Coturnix japonica: one gene and its partners. The protein of the gene in region 3 purifies or fractionates together with the protein of the main gene of each other region. This does not show direct contact. Links are inferred from orthologs where the notes say so. Each region holds a gene or a part of one and is shown on either strand. Other genes may lie near its edges.

Region 1 (5,017 bases), on a different chromosome or scaffold from region 3:
TGCCATGGTACTGGTATTTTCTTTTCAGTTTGGTGCCTGGTGTGGAATGTGATTTCATTCACTTACAGCCCTTTCACCGATTCTGTGATCTTTCAAAGTCGGAAGATGTTCTCTTTAGCAGAGCCCTGAAGCAAACACCTGTATTAGTAGTGACTAGCTTTTAAACTGGCTTGGTCACTCACCACTCAGATGCTCTGGTGCAGATAAAAGTGGTGGGAGATGCTTTATGTTCCAAAGCTCCTTACTTGGTTTTGTGGGCTGTTTTGTTTAGCAGCATGGCAGCCAGTCCGTGCCTGTGTTAGGCCTGTGCAAGCAGAGGACCTTTGTTTATTGAATACATTTCTTATTTCAGGTCATCTGATGAAACCAATGTTACCTTCGATGTAGATTCTTTCACAAAGGCGTTAGACAGAATTTTAGGTGAGACTGCTTGCTTCTTTTGTCAGAGTACCTCATTTTTATTTAGTGTCTCTGGGTTTTCTGATGATCCACGTGCGCTGTGCTGATTTCCTTGCTGTCTGTGCTTATGTGAAAATACACAGGGGCAGACTCAGAAGAGCTGGATTCTGATGATCTGGATGAAGAGGAGGAGTTTGACTTCTCAGATGAGGATGAAGATGACCTGGATGCTGAAAATCGAAGGGAAGACGACGAGGTATCAGCTCATGAACTTATAGGCAGTCTTAAGTCATATATGGATGAAATGGACCGTGAGCTGGCACAAACCAACGTTGGAAAAAGTTTTACCACTCAGAAGAAAGGGGTGAGTATGCCTTGAATACCAGTTTGTGGCATAATCATTTGAGAGCTTTGTTGGGAAAGAAGGAGTCTGCTACAAGAAGTCATTGTGAGTAACATGATGAGCAATTTCTGTCCTCCAGCCTTGTGCTGATTACCAAGAAAAATAATCCTATGGGCAAATCGCACCACGGTATCTTGGAAGCAAAACTTAGCTCAGCTTTAATGTACACATTGATTCCAAGACTTGGTTTCAGGTCCCTGCAAGCTGCAGTTTGAGTTCTTGAGTTTCCATCATCAATCAGTCCCATGGGACACTGAGGCAGGACTCACTAACCCTCTGTGCATGTCATCCATATAATGGAAAGTGATGATTTTTAACTGGCATGGGTATTTGGTGACCACATTCCTGTCTCTCAAGGCAGATGAGAACACACTGAACTTTGTTGGTGACAGAACTGCCTTCTTCATTTCTTATGTTTTAATTCTTCCTTTTTTGTATATGATTTGTCTTGATGGAACCTTCTCCTTGTGCTTACTGCAGGCAAGTTCCGCTAAAGCAACAACATTGCAAAATACTGGCCTTGACTCTGAAGAGGAAGATGCTCAGTTGACACCAGTTGATGTGGATATGAACCTAGTAACTAATCTGCTTGAATCTTACAGCGCTCAGGCTGGACTGGCAGGACACACCTCTAACATTTTACAGAGCATGGGGGTGTATTTACCTGAAAATACAGATCGTGCCAGTTCTGGTGAGGGTGCAGCAGAATGAGAGACTGTCTTAATTCAGAAGACATGACTGACTGGGAAAAGAGACATGGGAAGAGCAGCAGCATTTGGAAGGAGAGACAAGATCTGCATTTAAAGCACACTATACATGTGTTTTGTGTGGCTTCAAAGACGTAAAGGGAATTTACCTGGAAGCGGAAGGACAGCGCTCTCTTGTTTGGATTTGGGAATGCTGATCCAATGCTCATCAGCCATTTTAATTTCCACAAGTACCAGTGCTGCTTTGGAAGAACTTTTGATAATTGCTATATTTGGTTTTGTTTTGTTTTGTTTTGTTTACTAATTAGGAGTATTTGATGACGAGTAACCTGATAGAATCTGTAAATATTGCTATATTTTGTGAATTCATTTAAAATAAAACCAGAAGCACAACGTGATTGCTGGAGCTGCTTTGTTGCTTTGAAGGCATGCATAACTCCTGTAGCAAAGCAATGCAAGTTCTCGAAGTTGAAGCATTTTCACAGGGGCCTATTTTGGGTTTTATTAGGACTGAGCATCGGTTGTGTGCCATCAGCAGCTGATGAATCCATCCCTATTCTAGTAACAGCTGTCTCTCAAAGTTTATTTCACCTACAAGGTTCTGTTTGTCCTCTGGAGTGAGTAAGTTGTATTTGCACTTAAAGGAGCTACAAGCCAGTGCAATTTTGGATTAATTTCTGGTCAAGTTACCTGGAGCCAGGTTGACCTTCACAACCTACTTGTCAGGTATGGGCTGATGCTCTATGGAGAGCCTCCTTTGAGTCTCTGTATAGTTCCTGCATTTCTTCATGGCTAGTGATGATGGAGTTTACAGGAAAGGAAATACAGCAGTTGGTTACAAATGCCAAATGCTTTAGTTGGTGTCCATTCTGATGTGTCTTTACAAGTCTTAATGTCAAGAGGGAGACTGCCTAACGCTTTGTGACATTCAAGGCTATTGAAGGGTTTTCATACTAGCAACCTGTAAAGCAAAATAGTCCTAATCAGCTGTTGGTTTAGGAAAAAACCCTTTTGTATTTGTTATTTGAGGGCCATAGCAATAAAGAATGCATTAAAATGTGTTCAGCTTGTGGGATGAGCACAGCAGTTGTTTGCATGCAGAGGCTGTGAGAGTATCTTGAGAACATAGATGGCACTACATGCTCAGAAACAGGCAGCTGAGTGTGTTCATGTGTTTATCTAGGATGAGAGCAGGGAGCGAGAGAAAAGCACGTGGTAATTGGGGTGTTGTGAAAACATCCCCTGTTAACCATTTCTTAGTTCTGATGGTTCCAAGGAAGTCAGGGGTCACAAACGAACAGTGACATCTGAGCACCAACACATGTGGGATGTGCTCTGTTTTCTCCTAGGGTAAAGCGACTTAAATTATCCTCTGGCTTATAGCAGGTTATCTGTCATACCTGAGTTCAGATTTGTCATGTTTCTTACTCTCAGTTCTTCCTTTGTGTCATCCTGTGCCTTCTGAATATGGAATAGATGTGCTTTTTCACAAGTTTTGGATGATTATGAAGCAGTTTAAATCCTGATAATGTGATAGAGACATCTGCTACCTACTGAGCTTCCAGTTTCAACTGCAGCATATTTTATCCTTGTTTATAGCTTGAAGGAAAAAGACTCAGTTCAGTAGACATGATTAGTTAAGGGTTAATTGTCATAATACGGAATAGCAAAACTAATGGAACCTATACCTGCTGTACCTTGCTGTCTTAGGCTTGAAGTCCTTGTTATAAATTTCTCAAGCCTTTATTTCAGTGCTGCATAGAAAAGACTGTGTGGACATGCAGTGTTCTCAGTCCACTCCTTAGTATGTTCTTACATGCTTTTAATATGTTAAAAATGGCTTTCTTGCCTTGTTGGTGGTGAAGATAAGCCATCCACCCCTCCCGAAGCTATTTAATATGTAGTAGAAAGAAGCCTCTGCATTGTGTTCTTGTTAAGCTTCTAAACAGCAACTAATACAGGCTCTTAAGTTATTTTATGATGCTGCTATGCCTGCTGATTCATTCTGAACTTCCATTAATATGTGTGTTACTGTCTGTCTAACCCTAGTGTTTTTGAAAATCAGCTAATATTTCTTCTTTTTCTGTGTAATACCCACCTGTGCACAATACAGTTTATGTTGTTTTATTGACTGGACCTTGGTTATTTAAGTGGCTGCCTCTTCTACTAACGTTGTCCTGTTTTCTACTGGGTTAATTAAAACTTCTTTGCAGTTTGAGCCACTGCAAGAATATAATTAAATACCAGTGTTGAAATTAGTATTCAGACCGGAGATTTCCAAGTCTATTATACTTTAGAGTGTCACAATGAGAACATGCTTTGAAATAACTTATATGTCACTTAATGCAGAGCCTTGAGGTGTTCTGTAGTGGCCCTTCTTTTCCTTATTTCCTAAAGGAGGAAGTCCCCTGCTCAACTAGTGACCTGATTTGGTAACTCTCTATGACGTTACTGAGTGTCAGACTGCTTCAGTTGCTTCATTCTTCATTTCCTGTGGACTATGGGAAGAAGAAGGTGGGCCATCTGTTTTTGTGTCATATTAAGTTCCACTCAGAAACTCTGTGGGGCTGGAAAGTCGCTTATCATGATCAAGAGTACAGTGTGTTAATATAACATATGTTATAATAACATTATACATACCACAGCCAACAGTAGGGGGGATAAATGGCTGATATAGAACCTGTTTGGATGAGTTTCACAGGCTCCCAGTTGAATTACATTCACAAATGCTTAAATATGTCAGCTAATGTATTTGTTTTCTCTTACTGGGCGCTTAAGCTGTGCAGGTATAGGTGGGGTAATATTTTTTCAGGAGTATAACAGGCTAGAGCTAACACTGCCTCTCAAACATTATCAGACCTATAAAGCACTTGCAGAAGAAAAGGAATAAATGCATATGGTATTTTTTTATAGAGTTGAGGTTCATCTGAAGGTCCAGCTGTAGGAGAGGAAAACAGCGGGGAAAAAAAGAATTAGAAACTGCATGGTTTAGCAACAGTGTGTAAAAAAGCAAGTTTAAAACCAAGGAATGCCTAGAAGAAATAACAAAACTGAAGAATTTAAGTGCTTATTTCTTCAGGTGCACATATTCCTCATGTTGCCAAAAATACAATGGAAGTATTTGAGAGACTGCCTTTCCAAAACCCCCATCAATTCAGAGAACCTTAAAGAATCAAGCTCTGAACATGCAGGAAATAGGCCAGTCTGCCTCACCTCTGTCCCTGGAAAGATGATGGAACAGGTTGTGCTGGATGCCATCTCCAGACAACTGGGAGAAAAGGAGGTTATCAGGAGTAGTCAGCATGGGCTCACCAAGGGGAGGTCGTCCTTGACCAACCTGGTGGCCTTCTGTGATGTTGTCACTGGCTGGTTGGATGTGGGGGAGAGTGGTGGTTGGAGTCTACCTTGATTTCAGCAAGGCATTTGATACTGTCTCCCGTGACATCCTTATAACAAAGCTGAGGAAGTGTGGGGGAGAGTCCAAGTCAGGAATCTAGAGGCTCCTGGT
Region 2 (5,236 bases), on a different chromosome or scaffold from region 3:
TATGATAACAAAAGGTACGGTTACTATGCAGATCTGAAAACATTATAACCCCCATAGAAAAGGAATCCCTTCCTTGAATCTTTCTGAGGAGTTCAGAAGTGAGATAAGTGACCACATCTCTCAGATTTCTCCTAGTTAATCATATAGCACTAAAACAGTAGAAATCTAGTTTCTCCTATAACCAAAACACCAAGAACACCACTATGACTAAACTTCCTCAATGCCAAGCAAAAAGAAAGAATACACCTCCCTTAACAGTACATCTATGACCTGTGCTCCATCTAGAGATGGAGAGCTCTAATAAATAACAAAATCACACCTGCAGAGTACGCAGGAAACGCATTGCCCTTGAAGCTCACAAAGTCATTAGGATACAGACACCGGCAGAAACCTGCTTCCCTATTACTTGCAGGGCAGATGAGTTTCAGGAGCATTCCTACAGGACGCCAATTACCATTTAGAAGACACATGAGTACTCAGCAGACAATCTCCTTTTACAGTGTTTACCTAACCTTATTAGCAGGGTCTTCTGTTAAGAAGTTCTGCTGTTTAGTCGTTGCAGGTCTTAGAGAATTATTGTGTAATGACTTCATTCCTGCTAGTGAGTAGTCAAGCATACAGCAAACTCTCTCAAGCAAGAAAGCGAATTCTGCACACACACACCAGCTAAGAGATAAATTCTCACTGCTTATTTCAACACCCTAATAATTTTCTCTTACTGTTTTAACCAATGACAGGGAGAGAAATCACCTCCACTGTTAATATGGGACAGAGCCCTCTCCATCCTGATTTGAAGACAGACATCTGTCCATATCACAAGCACAAAGCAAGCTTACAATAACATGCATCTTACCCCTTGATTGTAAGCCTCCCTTGCTTTCTCTACCAGCTCCTTTTGTTCCTCGATTTGTCCTTTCATCATCCACAGTTTGGGAAAGTCCTCATAGTGTTTCAGGGCTTCCTCACAAAGCTCCTGTGCCGCAGCAATGTTTCCCAGCACCCATTCCAACTTCACAGACTTCATGAAGACCTGACAAAGAGACGGAGCCGTTTATCACTGGGGAAGAAACAAAAGCAACAAAAACAAGAACTCTGCCAATGCAGTGGGTTCCCATGTCTGTGCATACATTGGGAAGTTATTCATGAGCCTTAGTTTGGAGCAGAAGGCTCCATGACTGACAGGAGAAGAGGACAATCTAAAAGGTCCAAATCTCCACACAGCAAACCAGGTTTTTTCCTCTTACTTGGTCAAATCGAAACGATTCTGTATGCACAGCTAAATATTGACAACATTTATCACAGCAGAAGTAACCGTAGAGATAAACACAAGACTGTAACTTTAAATAAATCCGATGAGCACCGTCTTTAGCACAGCATAATTGAGTCTTCTGCAAAAAATATTTTCACTCTCTCTTCTCCAAGACACGCTTTTATGCAACATGAACATTATACAAACAGCTGTAAACTGGGAATTTCCTGACTTTTGCCATTTGTGTGAAAAAATGTGAAACCCTTCACTTGATCCCAGCCTCTGTTCCCATCATGCTGCAACCGAGTGTTGCAATTTGCTGGAGAAGTGCTACGGTGCCTGCAAAAGGCAATGGCAGGGAGCCATCTGGTCAATCACTTGAGGCCACAGAACTGAAGGAGCTCCTGCTTACGACTCAGCTCCCCCATTGCTATGAGAAGCCTTGGCCTCTCCACCCTTCACACATCCCTACCCTTGCAGTGGGGGCACTGCTGCGAGCTTTTGCCAGCAGCCTCCTCGCTCTTTCATATTCATTGTTTTCCGACTCGAGCTTGACGGCAGCCAGCCAGATCTCCTCGCTGTTGGGGTTGGCCTGCAAGAACACAAAATGACAGACAAATGCATACAGTGAATCAACAGCAGATTTAATCCTTCGTTTGATCCAGATTAAAATTGAAGTCAGAGCTCTGTCAATCCACATTAGGACTTCTTTTCCCATTCAAGCTCCTCCCAAACTTCTTTGACCTTTGAAGTTCATAGAAATTCTACGAAACAGATGCGCAACACAAAGATGTGTTTCAGTTGAAAAGTTGGACGTCTCTCAACTGTTGAAAAGCGTTAATGCTTGATCTCCTGAACTCGCAGTTTAACTACTGCAAAAATCAGAGAGTCTGTCACAGTGAGACCCTCACTTCATTATCTCTGAACAAAAAAGCTGAAGCTCAGATTCCCAGCAGAGAGCTGTGAACAGCACTCCTCCAATACAAGTCATTTTTCAGTAACAATCATGTCAAGAAATCTTCAGAATATTCACAGAAAGAACCAAGGCCAAATTCAGGAGATAAACCTCTTTCACCTCCTCGCTGAGAAGCTGCTGCCATTTATTTTTGCTCCTCAGCTCCTGAGGTCTCAGTCCATGTTAGAGCTGTATCACTCTGCCCATCTTCCAGTATCCAGTGGACAGTTCCATTCACTTTGTTTTAGATCAGGGTATTTGGTCCAAACCAAAGGTAAAACAGCAGCCTCACTAATTAGGGCAGATCACTACCCTGTCAACTGCTCATAGCAAGCACAGGGCAATGCAGATCTGTGGCTGGGTGTGGTAGAAGCAATGGTACTAAAAGTAATGATCTGTGAACTCACAGCTCCGCGTGATAACACTAAAAGAGCAGTAATGCATTCTTGCTTCCAGCTTGCTAATATGTTACAGGAGAACATTTTTGACAAATAAAACTATCAAAGAACAGAGGAAATCTCCTCATATCAAAAGGTGGCAGAAATCAGATGAGCGCTGACAGAAAAAAGCTTCACCATACTCTTTAATTCACATTTACCACCACGACACAAACCTAACATACCCACCTGGAAAGCCAGGGCCAAGATGCTTCTGGCTGCTGGCACATCTCCTGCCAGCCACTTCGATTTGGCTCCCATGAGCCACAGCACTTCTGCTTTGGGACAGTGAGCAACAGCTCTCTGCAAAAGAGCCTCCAAGGATTCTCTGAGACAAGAAAGAGCAAGTTACAATCACCCGAAGCGCTGCCAAAGGCGAGCTCTCACATTCAACTTCCACTATCACTCAATGCTATAAATATTGTTGCAAAGTCCAACGCTGTAAACCTTGATAAGTTGTTTCATAACAAGGAAAGGGTGGGGTCTTTTTTCCACAAGGGTTCTGAAATCAGTGCTCCACAAACGGCTCATTGTTCAGACACCTTTGTTTGATGGCTGCTGAGACACCATGCGTATAAACAGCTCATTTGTCTTGGAAAGAGCCAGTCTTCTAAACAAACCTCAGCAGAATCCAAGACAGGAAGTTTTTCAGAATTATTAGGTGAAGCTGGCTTGATCTTATTGACATTTTCTTCCTCCTCTGGAAAATGCACTTAAATGTAGAACAAGGGGCTTAAGGACCAGCAGCCACCACTGGGAAACACAGGAGAACACCAAAGGCAAAGACACACTTGTTCCAAAAGCACAAATTCTGTCTCCACATTCACTTCCACACAACAGCCACATTTAGCTTTAGCAAGACTAACTCCCTCTGCATATGAAGTTGACTATACAGACTGCTTGCTTTATTATAAACTTTGTAGAGGAAGGTTCAGATGCATGGAGCTTCATGAATAAACACCAAAATAAGAGGCTCAAGCTGTGACAGTGTAATATTCATTCATAATTTGACATTATGAGAAAATGCCAGAGCTGTTCAGACTCAGTACTGAAGTAGTTTATCTACACAAGTTAAACAAAACACTTGCTGCATTTCTTGGTGATGTCATTCTGTATTCCCTATTTTTTTCTAGGAATGCTTTCTCAAAGATGACCATCCTTACCTCAGTTATTCATAGCTACTTCCATTACTTATTACTTAATCTCTTTTCCTAAAGCACTCTTTAGGACCTCACAAAGAAAATAATCTGATCGCAGCAAAGGTCAGACCCTGCAAACAATGCCACTGAGCTTTCACCAACTAATTCTGTCTGTGGAACAATACACTTTATTGCTGACCTTGTAGCTCTTCTGCCTTCCCAATCTATCACACTGCACTGAGAAGGAACAGCACCTTCATCTGAGGATGATGCAGTGCACGTACCTTGTTCCATGGTTCTTTTCAAAGTACGCTGCTCTCAGCCACACACTCTTCTTGCTTGGGAAGACTTGCAAGGCATAGGCATAAATTGCTCGGGCACACTCCAGAGCATTGTGAGCAACACACTAAGGAAAAGCAGAGCAGAAGTCAGATTAAATTTGCAGTGAAATCAAGGGCAAGACAGGACAACACGTGTGTAATTCAACACAGAACTCAGAAGCTTACTACATGAATTGGGACATTATACTTTGATATCAGCTTTATAAAAGGAAGCACAGAGAAACACTCCAGTTGTCTCTTTCAGTGCTCAAGTATCATGCCAAAATATAACTTAGTTTGTGGCACATATTTAAACTACTCCCCACATACAAAGAAAACGTGGTAAAACTTTCACACACTCCCTGCTCAATCCTACATCACCTCTTCAACGTTTACACCTTGAAACTCAACTCTTAATTTGCTGAACAAGACCTTAATCTTTGTTGACAGCCCATAAATAAACAAAGAAATCAGCAAACCATCTATTCAGAGTCACCAACTTCCTGCTTAATGAAAATTCAAGTATGAAAAAAGCTCTCCAATACCATAACCCCAAGAGGGGGGCCGGCCAAATGCAGGCAGATGCTGCGCACATCGCATCCACTTTCAGTGATTAAAACAAGTCTTACTTTCCTGGCTCCAGTTCCCCTTCCCCCAGTGTGGAAACAAAACACAGCATCACAGCTGGACATACACTGTCTGCATCTTCCATCCAGGTATGTTTCCGATCTTCTTCTTCAATCCCAATTCCAATCACAGCTCGCATGATTGCCTGGCATGTGGCCACGCTTCCAGCTTTATCACACTCCTCAGCATCCTGGGGACAAGAACAAAAGCTGCTCATTTTGAGACACCAGCACCGTAAGTTAGATTCTGCAACAGCAACTGCTCCCTGGACCCACTGCAAGCGATATCAGTAGTAAAGTGGCTTAAAGGATTTATGTTTAAACACAGCATCTGTAGATATTCAGGAGGAAACCTGAACATCAAACCACTTATTTATCACTTCCCACCAACTTGGGAAACTCACAGTTTTCAAAGGTGACCGAATCACTGAAACTCCACAGAACTTTTTGCTACTTTTCTAGCACTAAAGTTCCAAAATAGGATGATGTGTAACAGTGTGATGAACCTGC
Region 3 (5,905 bases):
GCAGATACACAAAGATGCACTCTGGTGGTGCAAACATTTCAGCTGACCTCTAGCAGATTGCCTGATGCAGGCAGCTCGCTGCTTCCATTTCAGAGCCCAGGGAACTGGAGAAGAAAGAAAACACAACTCAGCTGCCAAAAATGCTGGAAAGCCCACATCTTCCCACATGCAGATACATTATAGTGGGTATATAGCTGCAGCAGTTAGGCATAGGCAGGTGGACTTCCTGACATTTCTCTGCTGGGATTCAGGAGCCCCTCTAGTCTGATGGTTACAAGTAACATTTCTTGTTACAGTTTAATCACTTTTTACTTTCTTTCTTTCTAAGTGTTTCTTGGCCCTGTTTTGCTAGGGAATCCGCTCATGTTCAAACAGAGCACCCAAAATGTGGTGGTGCGAGGCCAGGCAAATCCTGTCTTACACATGCAGTGTCCCTAACAGAAAACAACTGCAGGTTCTCCCTACAGGTTGGCAGTAACTTTGTCATTGGGAAGAGTCAGGTTGATACCTGTCTTCATTAAATATATTCCCTCCACATGAGTTGATTTTTTCATTGCTCACTTAGCAGGATGAAAACTCCAATGTGAGTACACAGCACTGGAATAAGTCAAACCTGCTTGCATGTGAGCCAGAGCCAAAAGAAAGCATAAAGTAAAACAGGTAAGCAAAAACTGATGTAGGAGAAAGGCAGTGTTAAGCACCAAATCCTGGAAACATCCCACTGGGTTTCAAGGATATTTATAGGCTTTCCTTCTTGTAAATGGGAGAGGTCAGGTGATTATTTCCCCCAGCCTTTACTCATTCTGGCTCGGTGCAACTGCAGTCTTCCAGCAGAGGAGGATGTGCTGTGCAACGCTGTGCTTGAGATTTTTACCTACAGGAAAATGCTCCTTTCCTTCCCTACTTCCCCTCATGAACTCTGGCATCAAGCTGAGCATGGCCATACCAGACTCATGTCCACAGTTGTTCTGGGCGCATGAGATGGAGAAAATACATTGGATCGCTGTGCTTGGCCTTCAGTATCACAGTGGCTGCCGGGGAATTGCCTGCCAGTTTCCTACAGCCATGAAGAGAAGGACAGGCAGCCTCTCCCAGGCTCCAAGTGCAGAAGCCTTCAGTGCATAGGCTGGGGCTGGAGCCTGCCAATTGAGCAGCGGAAACAGTCACCGGATAGGGGCCAACAGCAGATTTATGTGCAAGAAAGGAACACAAGGCTCCCAGCAGCAGGGCTGAACGGAGACGCACTGCTCCCTGCAGAGGCACAGGGCAATCTCTGCACAAGAGCTAAGCCTGCCCCAGGCATAGTGTACTTGTTTGGAAGATGTCCTGTGATGGCACACAGAGCCATGTCGAGTCCCGCACCCCTCTTCAAGCCATCTTAGTTCACGCTGGCTAGGGCTAGGCTTTACCATCTGTTCTTCTTTAGGATCTGACTCATTATTTTTATTTCAGCTGTCACCAAGCAATAGCAAAAATCCCAACACAACAGCACATTCACCATCGTGAATTGCCTTGTCTGCAGTCAGCAAAGAACAGCTCATCCCCAGTTCTCTGCAGTGTGTGAGACTCACCTTCTGCACAGCGACAGGAAAGGAGTAAAAGGATACAGACAGCTGATGTAGTAACCTTAGCCATCAGCTGCATCCTGACAAAGAAAAGCCCAACCCCAGATCCATGGCTTATGCTGCTTGCCTCCACCCTTACAAAAATAGGGCATGACCACGCTTAATGCACATCCTTTCCCTGCCTGCTGCTGGTATGCCCAGACAGCATTATGCAGCAGGCTCAGCCCTCAGCCACTGTCTGTGTCTCCCCTGCCCATTGCCTGTCTTTGCCTGTGACTCCTGTTTCTGCTCACACGCCAAAGGACCCTGCTTTCCTCTCTCTTCCCTCCAGACAGGAATCCATCTGCCTGTGTCTCCGCTGTACATGTATATATGTTTAAGGAAAGGCTTACCAAATGGGGAAACACCTCTAGAGCCTCTGCTTTAGAACTTAAAGCTTTTAGCTGAAGAAGGGGGAAAAGAACCAGATGGCCTCAGCCAACACCAATAAAACATGTTCCGACAGAATTCCACATCTTGACACATGAACAAAAAAATGTTCTTTTGGGACAGAGGATGGAAACTTGCTTTTGGCCGGACACTTGTCTCACACCCCAGTGACTGAAGGCTTTCTGGTTATAAAGTACATGCAAATAAAAACTCCACGCTTCCTCTGAACCGCTCGCTGCTGCCAAGCCCAAGAGATGAGGAAAAAACCAACGCCTGACTTGTTTTTTCCACGCGGTTTGGATGAGGAGGGGCCACCCCCGACAGCTTCACAGTCTGCAAAATGGAGGGCGAGCTCCTGGGAGCTGTAGTCCGGCCGCGTCGCTCTCAAAATGGCCCCCAACGGGGAAAGCGCAGACAACTACAACTCTCAGGATGCAAAGCGAGGTGACGCTAACGGGAAGCAGGGTTGTACTTCTGCTTCCTGCACTTCCCCACCTCCACCTTCCTCCGGGCTTGCGCGGCTTTGGGGTATGGGGCGTTTATTCGGTGCTGGGTGTGAGCGGGGAGGGGGGGGGATCCCGGTCCGGGGAGCTGGGTCCTAGGTTGGCAAGGAATGCGGTATATGGGCCCATGGTGCAGGGTGCGGCGGTGGGTTGTGTCGTAGTGCTGTCTGTGCGATGAGAATGGGGTCGAGATTTGGGGTGACGGAGCTCTGTGTTTGCCTCCCAGCTGCAGGAGGGTGAGCAGAGCCAGCAGAGCAAGGCCAGGATGGGAGAGGCTGATGGAGAACGTGGCAGCCAGAGAGACACGGGCCTGTGTGTGCTGTGCAGTGCCCACGTTGCTGTAATGAACGTGTGAGTTTGTCTGGTGTGTTGTCAGCATCTGCGTGTTTGGTATTAACACTGTTAAATTATTCTTCCAGTAGCAACGTTTTCCCTTTCTGTACAAATGCTCTTAGCAAAGAGGTGCCCTCATTCATAGCCTGAAACATCTGTTTTGCTCAGCCCTGCTTTTTGGTGTTTCTTTTGAGTTGCACTCGTTTCTTTCATGTGTTATAAAACTAAAGAGAAAGGTGCAGGATCTTCAAATGATTATTTTGCATTTGGGGGTTGCACTAGAGGCCACGTTTCAAAAGCAACGGTGTCAAAACACAGCCAGACTACACAGAACACAGCATTCAGGCCATTCAGTTCTTTGCAAGCTTCTCCACATACTAATTCCTCATGCAGATCTGTCCCCAGTGGTGAATACAACCTTTCTTTGCAGGCATCTCTGTGGTGTCCTGGGTCTCTTTCCTATTGGCATGTAGTACCTGCAGTGCATATCTGGTACCTTCTTGGCTGCAGTTAACACAGTACATTTACTAATAGTTTACTGCATGTGTAAATTACAGCTTTGTTTTGTTTTTTTTTAAAGCCTCTCTTCTGTTGTAGAGAATAAGACTTGGCTTTGTGAATGTGGAGACTGAGTAACTGTGGTGGAGCCTGTCCTATTAGGTTTGTGCTGTTCTTTTGCTAGTATTCAGGATTATCTGAAGACTTTTTTATGCAAGCTTGAGCTTGTGTCAGATTTAGAACTCTGCTCTGTAGCTTTGGGTGACTCAGGGAGAAAGAATTATTTTCAAAACTCTTTTTAAAACTACATTTCCAGTATCTTGATGGAAATGTTTGTTTTCTAGGGTGGAAGTGCTGAGATCTTTGGTGGCTTTAACTGACCCTCAGGAGGGGAAGCTGACTCAGTCTCAGGAGAAAGTGAGTGACCAGCACACTTTCCATGTCTGTTTACTGCGGCTTTTCAGAAGAACCTATAATTGTGTAGTTTAACTTAACCTAATAGTAAATGAGAACACTTTCCCTAATTCACGTTTTGGAGAGCTGAACTGAAGTGTATTTTTGCCAAGTCTATTTTTGACTGCCCAACAAGCAGTGGTGTTTCAGCCTGTACTGTACTGGAACTCAGGGTTCAGGTCACTGTGTCTTTTGATTGACCAAATGGGCAGCTCTTGCTGACCATTGCTTGCACCCTCCCCTTGTTTCCAGTGTGCTCACACAAGCATGGCATATGCAATTATTTTTCATAATCTGTCTCAATTCATTTCTCACGCTCACTTATCATGTGATTGCAACTATCTAGTAATAACGTAAAAGCTTAAAGCCAAGGAAGGAGTGCACCTTGTACTTTGTCAGTTTAAAGCTGACACAGAACTGTAGCTCTGAGACATTACAGGCTGTTCTGACACATTCCTTGATCAGCAGCAGGGCCCTTTTTAATACGTAGAATATGATTGGGGACGGATGTGAATTGGCAATGAAGAATTGCAACAGACAAAAGAGATTAGGATTTGTTTTTATGGATTTATATGGTATGGGTAAATGAACGGTGTACTTTGGAGAGTCACTGCTGTTCTTGGAAGAAGATATGTGGAACAGTTATATTCAAAAAACTTATGCTCATCATTTAGCAATTGGTCTTGCTGTTACCTTCAGTGAAATTCAGTGCATCACTATTTATAATTACTTTGCATTCTTGTACTGAATTTTGTGGAAGTCTTTAATATTAATGTGCATCTGTTCCACAGCAATGTACTGTGATATAGCAGTAATCATTATCAGGCCTGTCCCAGAGTGATGGTCATACGTGTGATTTTCATTGCGCAGTTGAATTTTCATGCTCTTTTATATTGTAGGCATTAAAGCTGCTGGACATTTGGAAAACCGTATTTACAGCCATTCCTGGGCCTGCGTTAAGGACCTCAGTGGAGTGATAGCTCAAAGATGGGAGATCAGGATGATGCTGAACCCTTCCTGGGCACCAGGACTGCCACTGCAGCAGACTACGAAGGAGCTCAGCCCTCTGACGCAGTGTCGCTCAGCGATTCTGATTCCGATGATTTGGGATTAGCAGATGAAGCAGAAGTTGATACAATATCTCCTGAGGATCCATCTGTAGATGATGGGGATTACAGACCAGGGGACACTGCTGACCCATCAGAAAGCAGCGAGAGGTCTCCTGTTCAGCCATTCCTTCTGAGGGGCATGAGTTCTACATTCTCTCTCCGCAGCCAGAGTATTTTTGATTGCTTGGAGGAGGCAGCAAAATTGTCTGTTCCCTCAATGTCTGAAGATAATGTTGTTGATGGGAGGTTTAAACGTCCCTTACCTCCAACTACCATGTCAAGTAATGTAATACCAGAAAGCCTTGGAAAGCCAACCAGACCAGTGCAGTCTCCCAGAATGTCTCCAGCAGTGCCTGACTATGTGGCACACCCAGAGCGCTGGACCAAATACAGCCTAGAGGGAGTGTCAGAGTCTAGTGACAAGACTAACAGGGCAGTGGCTATGGAATTTCTAGAAGGCTTGAAGAAAAGAGGGGAGGAACAAAGCTCAGCTGCCCAAGACAGCTACACCCCATATTTCAACCAGGATCCTTCCAGCTGTGGAGCTGGGAGGATTGTATTCACCAAACCTTCAAAAAGGGGTGTTGATGGAATAGAAAAGAAAATATCGACAGGAGAGGGTGATAAGAAACAAATCAAAACAGATCTGAAAGGAAAATCTGTAAAGACTGATGACATGAGGGAGGAAGATAAGGTAGAGCTGGGACACTTAGGTGGTGCTGATAGAAAGGCAACAGAGGAGGAGGGATGCCTGATGGTGGAGAACGTGAATATGGAAAATGAGCATGGTGTGGGTGAAGAGCCATTGGCAGAAAAAGTTGGATTCCATTGCAGCAAGAAGAGAAATAGAAAAAATTTCCGACCTAAAATAGATGACGAGGGAGAGGAGGAAGAGTCTTGAGTGATGGAACGAATCGGAAACATGCAAGAATTTCTATAATCTTGTTTTGTTATGTTTTTGGTTTTTTTGTCAGGGACCCATGTGATACCATTTTGTCTAATGGTTTGCTTTATA
Region 4 (5,735 bases), about 22 Mb from region 3:
GTGAAACTCTGGAGAATAGCAAAACATGCTATGAATTCACACCTAAATGCTTTCCAGGTTCTACTTAACATAATTATATTCAAAAACACAACTGCTAATACTCAAACCAAGAAATGATGTACTGTCTTGACTTTGCTTAACCCTCTCCTAAAAGACACATTAACATGAAAATAATAACTACACTGAAATAACTCTTCCTCTAACCATGAAGCCAACGTAATTAGAAAAAAGTATACATCATAGAATCATACAATGGCCTGGGCTGAAAGGGACCATAATGATCATGTAGTTTCAACCCCTCTGCAATATGCAGGGTCACCAACCACTAGACCAGGCTGCCCAGAGCCACATCCAGCCTGGCCCTGAATGCCTCCAGAGATGAGGCATCCACAACATCCAAAATGAACTTCTAGTTTAGTCTCATTTTTTAAACATATTCCTTTATCCACTATGCTGAAGTTCTTCCTTGTTCTTCATCTCCATGGCGCAGGTTAAAATGATCATCACCATTCTTTTAAACTGGCATTCACATACACACCTGATTCACATATAGCCACCTTCCCTTTGTAAGCTCCACCGTGCAAGACAGAATTAATCAAATTGTTGAACATGCTAAAACTGCAAATGACTGAAAGAGAGACACTACAGAAAGACCTTATTGTTCATTAATTACCTCTGACAGTCCAGGCATAAAGTTGTCATGCAAGCAGGACAATTCAAAACAGCATCACTGTTTGGAACTGATGAAGGTTTTGTCTGTTGAGGCTGCAACATTCTTCTTTGATTACGGTACCTACCAAATGAAGGATATGGAGGATAAAAAAAGTGAAATTACACATCCTTGCTCATCAATTTAACCTTCAAATATTTTTTAAATTAAAATACATTGGTAAATATCTGTCTCCTTCACAACAACTCTTCTCTAACTAAATCTACCTAAATATAAGCACTATGGGAAAAAAACACACACATGAATTTTTCCATTTCATTTGTATGGAGGATTTTCATCCTGAGATAAGTATGTGGATTTGTGCCCAACAATCATTTTCCTGGAGAAGACAAGTATTTCAAGAACAGTCTCTCTAAGTAACATACATTGATGTGCTTTTCAACAGATTTATGTCTCTCTTCTGCTGCAGCAACCATTTTTCACCCTTCAAAGAAACCTAAAGTAAAGCAGTTTTGAGCTATTCCTATTACAAGTATTTCATCAACATCACAGTTATTTTGATAAGATCTATAGACAAAACAAACTTAGTGAACTAGGAAGTTTTGATTTTGAAAAACTGCATATTTTAGCATTTTGTCACTTTAAAGAGTCTATTTCCATTCCATATATGCAACAATTTTACAAGTTTTTAAATTCCCTGTGCTGTAAATTCTAAGGCACTAAGTGAACACAACAGCAAAGGGTTTTTCTATATATTCACCATGTTCACAGGAATTTTGCAGTTTATCGTAAGCATCCTACCTCCTATTATTTACAGTCTCTTACCTCCTCCTCTGTGAGTCTACCCACTCTTGGTCTCGACTGTCTTCTTCCGGGTCATACAGCAGCTCATCATTGGTAGGAATCCGACGTTGCTGATGCTTTCTTTTTTTCAGGACATCTTGCATAACTGTAGAGATTTGGGCATGCACAGGTTCCATCAGACAGACATACAATGATTCTCTACTCAACTAATCAAAAAATAATCTTTCCAATTTTCATTTTCAATACCTGCAATAAATGTAAATTAATTCATAAATATCTAGCTTTTCTCTCCTCTGTATAGACCACCCCAAAGTTTTAAAACACCTTACATACATTAGGATACATCACAAAGTTGCTAGAACTTTGCTGAAATGATACAGGCTGGTAACTGCCCCCAAAAGTCCCTCTTCAGCAATAGCCTCTGATGCCCTGAGAGGATTCTACTGTATCTGAGATACAGCACTAATATGAAGATGCTGCCTTCTCCCTCAGACCCTTACCAGTTTTGTCTTCATCTTCTGAATCAGAATCAAAGTAAATGTCATCATAGTATTTTGAAGTGGTGGCAGATCCAGCCTCTCCAGCGCTTGAAGAAGTACCTGCATTAAATTGAAGAGGGAAGTGGTAAGAACATCTCACCAAAAGGATAACATGCATATAGCCCAGTACAAACCATCATTTCCAAGCTGCCCTACTCAAGAGCCCCCCAGTACATCTGTGTGTATTAAGCTGCAGCTCTCCCAGTTTGTTCCCATGTCCCAATCAACTATGTTACTTGTGTGATTTCATTTACAGGTAAAAGAAATACAAGTTCTTCAAATGCCAGAGCAATCTACAGCACCCAAAACAGCATACGAAGTCCAGAATGGATAAATCCTTTACACAGTTTCACTACTTCATGTAACTTATAGTTATGAGCACTTAGGGGATTAATATTTTTCTTGACTCTTTTCCCCGCCTGATTTGCAATCTTAACCCACCACATGCCATTACTTTCAGCAAGAACGTGCTCCAAATGTTGATAGTGTCCTGAGCCATTGGACAAAGAGACTGCAAACTGCGTGAATGGCTTCCAAATACACACGTGAAAATCACTTACAACATAAGTTACAGAGACACCGGGGAAAAAAGAGGGCTGATCATTCAACAAGAAATCAAAGAGAAACAGGAAATTAGAGGTTCAGAAACAACATAACCAAAAAACTTAGAATGGATGAAACAAGTGCTCTCAAGGTACCCAAGTACCCATTTCTGCAGGACGGAAGAGCCATTTTAAGACTTCTCCACAGGTCTCAGCACCTCACTGCTACCACAAATCCCCCCTCAGTTGTAAGAACACTTCAACTCCTTAATTGGACACCGCTTAACCCTCAGTTTAACAGGCAAGCAGGTGTTAAGAATGATTTACCCATTTCTGGTGATTTCCACGTGCCTTCTATGTTCCTCACGGTGGTGTCGAGCTCTGCCTCCATCTCCTTCTGGAACTCATCATCGCTGGAAGATTCACTCTCCCCAGTCAGGCACTCCCGTAACAGCTTCCGCTTCTGGTCAGGAGTGCCGTGTAAGAGCACATCCACCTCATCTTCAGAGCTACAAACATTGAAACATCACACGCCTAATTATTACCAACAGCTCGCTACACAAGCTAATCAACAATCACCACCTGAGCTGTGTGGAAATACCGAGAAGCACTTATCTGTGTACTTATGTGAAACCCACTGGTTTTAATGCAAAGGAGCAGCGCACACACACACACACACAATCACACAGAATGACCCGGGTTGGAAGGGACCTCAAGGATCATGTAGTTCCAACCCCCCTGCCTGGCAGGGCCACCAAACACACACCTTTACTAGATCAGGTTGCCCAGGGCCCCGTCCAACCTGGTCTTGAACACCTCCAAGGACAGGGCATCAACAACCTCCCTGGGCAGCCTGTTCCAGGGCCTAACCACTCTCCTAGTGAAGAACTTCCCCCTAACATCCAACTTAAATCTTCCCTCTTTTAACTTAAAACCATTTCCCCTAGTCCTGCTATTATCAGCCCTTTAGAAGAGTTTACTCCCCTCCTGGGAGTAAGTTCCCTTCAGGTATTGAAAGGCTGCAATGAGGTCACCCCACAACCTTCTCTTCTCCAGGCTGAACAAGCCCAGCTCCCTCAGCCTGTCCTCATAGGGGAGGTGCTCCAGCCCCCTGATCATCTTCCTGTTCCTCCTCTGGACCCTTTCCAAAATCTCCAATCTTTTTTGTACTGAGGGCTCCACACCTGGACACAGTACTCCAGATGGGGCCTCACAAGAGCAGAGTAGAGAGGGACAATCACCTCCCTATCCCTGCTGACCACCCCTCTCCTGATGGAGCCCAGGATCCCATTTGCCTTCCGGGCTGCCAGAGCGCACTCGTAGCAGACAGACCCTTCCCACCATCAGCGGCCTCCTCCGTGACCGGCAGCACGAGGCAGACCAAACCCTGCAGCAGAGGGAAGCGGCGGCCCCCAGCCCGCCCCGGGAGCCGGCCGGCACCTGCTGAGCGCTCGCTCCTCGTCGCTGGGCTCCTCCACCACGTACGGATCATCCTCCTCCCGCAGGCGGCTCATGGCCGCTCAGCTCCCGGCACTTCTTCCGGCGGAAGCAGCACGGCGCAGGCCCAACTCCGCCCCCCGGAAGGGGACACGTTCCCCCCCCGACCGAGCACCGCCCCGCTGTGATGCCCCGAGCAGGGATCGGGCTGAAGGTTGAAGAGACAGACCCAATACCAAGAGGATTGAAAAAATTTAATGAGCTACTAACACTGAACAACGAGGACTAGTCTAAAAACTGTTTCCCACAGTCCTACTTAAAATATTTACAATTGTGGTAACTGTATATACATTGTAGTCTTTGTCCCTTATAGTCTATTTATAGATGAGTTCCTTAGGAATTACACCTTTGTATTTGGAAGATGAACAGCACAGTATTAGTGTGGTTGCCATTAATAGAAAATAGTATATACACGATGTGAGTTGCTAATAGCCACTGGGCACCAATAACCAGAAGTCTGAGGCTGTGCCTATGCAACTCAATGCAAAGAGCATGTGAAGCTGAGGAACCCCTGTCTTAGAAGCATTCCATGTGCAGTGCTGTGCTTTACTACACTGTGCAATTCACCCTATTGGAAAATAAACCTAGCCCTCCATGCAGCAGTACTGGAGAGTGTAATTACAGAGACTGACACTGACATTGGTCAGCATCTCCAATCAAAAAATGCCATTCACTGGAATTCTGCTGCTCTGCTGAAGGGCTACAAACCCATACAAAGCAGCAATCCCCCTGTGATGAATGATTAATCAAGTAAAGCCTAGTTTTACAACATTCTGAGATTATACAAGAGAACAGCAGCTCTTGGAAAGGACGTGCGGTTCAAGGGAGAGACAGAAAGCATTCAACAAACAAGAGACTGTGGATTCAAACAACAAAAGGTGTCCTGAGCTCTAAATCCAGTTAGCAGAAGGAGACACAGTTCAGGCATTCCTTTACTGGGTATGCCTTTACTACTTGTTTTCTGAAGCAAAGCTTCTCTTTTGTATAGAAGTGGGGCAGTATTACCTTTTTCTACTGAACACCCTTCTGCCAGTTTACTTTCCCCTTCTGGAAAGAAACCAGCTACTTCCCTTAAAAAACATTTCCACCAAAGAAAATGACAAGTCAGCCACTAAGGTGAAAACTATGCTGGATAGGAAAGTCACAAACAGAGGCAAATGGATAAACCTGAGAATGCAAGTGAAAAATTACCAGGCTAGTACTTCATGTTAAACCAATCTGGTACCTGTTTTACAGGATGAACAGAGAAAAATCTACTTTATCTGATTTACTAGAAAATATTAAGCTTATAGATGATACAATGTCTGCATAATTTTAGAAAAATCATTGATTTCATGGTTTATTTTACAATAATTGGATTAGTCTACAAGTTAAGGCAAACATACTAATGTATTTGCTTTTCCTTTTAAATCATAGTTATAAAGGTTACACAAAGTTCTTCAAAACTTCTAAGAAATGTTCACAATTGAAAAAAAAAGATTAAGTTTCTTGATATCAGTAAATGGAAAAAAACTAAGACAGTGTGTATACAATGCATTATAGTAACAATATTCAAATATCTAATGGTAATAGTTAAGCCATTTGAACGATGTACTTCAAATGGTGAACTTCAGAAATTACTTACGAAGGTAAATGATTGGCAGCTGTATCGTAGTATTCATAACATGAACGTAATTATATTGG

What was found.
Region 1: the proteins of TSSC4 (region 3) and ECD purify together in Homo sapiens (affinity purification with mass spectrometry; 3 studies listed by BioGRID and IntAct, counting the BioPlex papers as one, with this or other methods). This does not show direct contact. The link is inferred for Coturnix japonica from reciprocal best matches to the Homo sapiens genes TSSC4 and ECD.
Region 2: the proteins of TSSC4 (region 3) and PRPF6 purify together in Homo sapiens (affinity purification with mass spectrometry; 3 studies listed by BioGRID and IntAct, counting the BioPlex papers as one, with this or other methods). This does not show direct contact. The link is inferred for Coturnix japonica from reciprocal best matches to the Homo sapiens genes TSSC4 and PRPF6.
Region 4: the proteins of TSSC4 (region 3) and EAPP purify together in Homo sapiens (affinity purification with mass spectrometry; 3 studies listed by BioGRID and IntAct, counting the BioPlex papers as one, with this or other methods). This does not show direct contact. The link is inferred for Coturnix japonica from reciprocal best matches to the Homo sapiens genes TSSC4 and EAPP.

Annotation. Positions count from the first base shown.
Region 1 is NC_029521.1:4,228,000-4,233,016, reverse strand, and holds the end of ECD (protein ecdysoneless homolog), read left to right. Parts: coding exon 1-7; intron 8-352; coding exon 353-420; intron 421-542; coding exon 543-763; intron 764-1,282; coding exon 1,283-1,513; 3' UTR 1,514-3,637; downstream 3,638-5,017. UniProt on the Homo sapiens protein: Regulator of p53/TP53 stability and function. Inhibits MDM2-mediated degradation of p53/TP53 possibly by cooperating in part with TXNIP. May be involved transcriptional regulation. In vitro has intrinsic transactivation activity enhanced by EP300.
Region 2 is NC_029535.1:8,473,984-8,479,219, forward strand, and holds part of PRPF6 (pre-mRNA-processing factor 6), read right to left. Parts: intron 4,918-5,236; coding exon 4,795-4,917; intron 4,187-4,794; coding exon 4,065-4,186; intron 2,970-4,064; coding exon 2,831-2,969; intron 1,842-2,830; coding exon 1,722-1,841; intron 1,031-1,721; coding exon 854-1,030; intron 1-853. UniProt on the Homo sapiens protein: Involved in pre-mRNA splicing as component of the U4/U6-U5 tri-snRNP complex, one of the building blocks of the spliceosome.
Region 3 is NC_029520.1:10,938,338-10,944,242, forward strand, and holds the start of TSSC4 (protein TSSC4), read left to right. Parts: upstream 1-1,855; 5' UTR 1,856-2,522; intron 2,523-2,534; exon of another isoform or gene 2,535-2,624; coding exon of another isoform or gene 2,625-2,642; intron 2,643-2,723; coding exon of another isoform or gene 2,724-2,848; intron 2,849-2,868; exon of another isoform or gene 2,869-2,887; intron 2,888-3,410; exon of another isoform or gene 3,411-3,490; intron 3,491-3,672; coding exon of another isoform or gene 3,673-3,745; intron 3,746-4,680; coding exon of another isoform or gene 4,681-4,758; 5' UTR 4,759-4,768; coding exon 4,769-5,791; 3' UTR 5,792-5,905. UniProt on the Homo sapiens protein: Protein associated with the U5 snRNP, during its maturation and its post-splicing recycling and which is required for spliceosomal tri-snRNP complex assembly in the nucleus.
Region 4 is NC_029520.1:32,515,102-32,520,836, forward strand, and holds the start of EAPP (E2F-associated phosphoprotein), read right to left. Parts: upstream 4,130-5,735; 5' UTR 4,070-4,129; coding exon 3,996-4,069; intron 3,065-3,995; coding exon 2,883-3,064; intron 2,074-2,882; coding exon 1,975-2,073; intron 1,620-1,974; coding exon 1,496-1,619; intron 794-1,495; coding exon 674-793; intron 1-673. UniProt on the Homo sapiens protein: May play an important role in the fine-tuning of both major E2F1 activities, the regulation of the cell-cycle and the induction of apoptosis. Promotes S-phase entry, and inhibits p14(ARP) expression.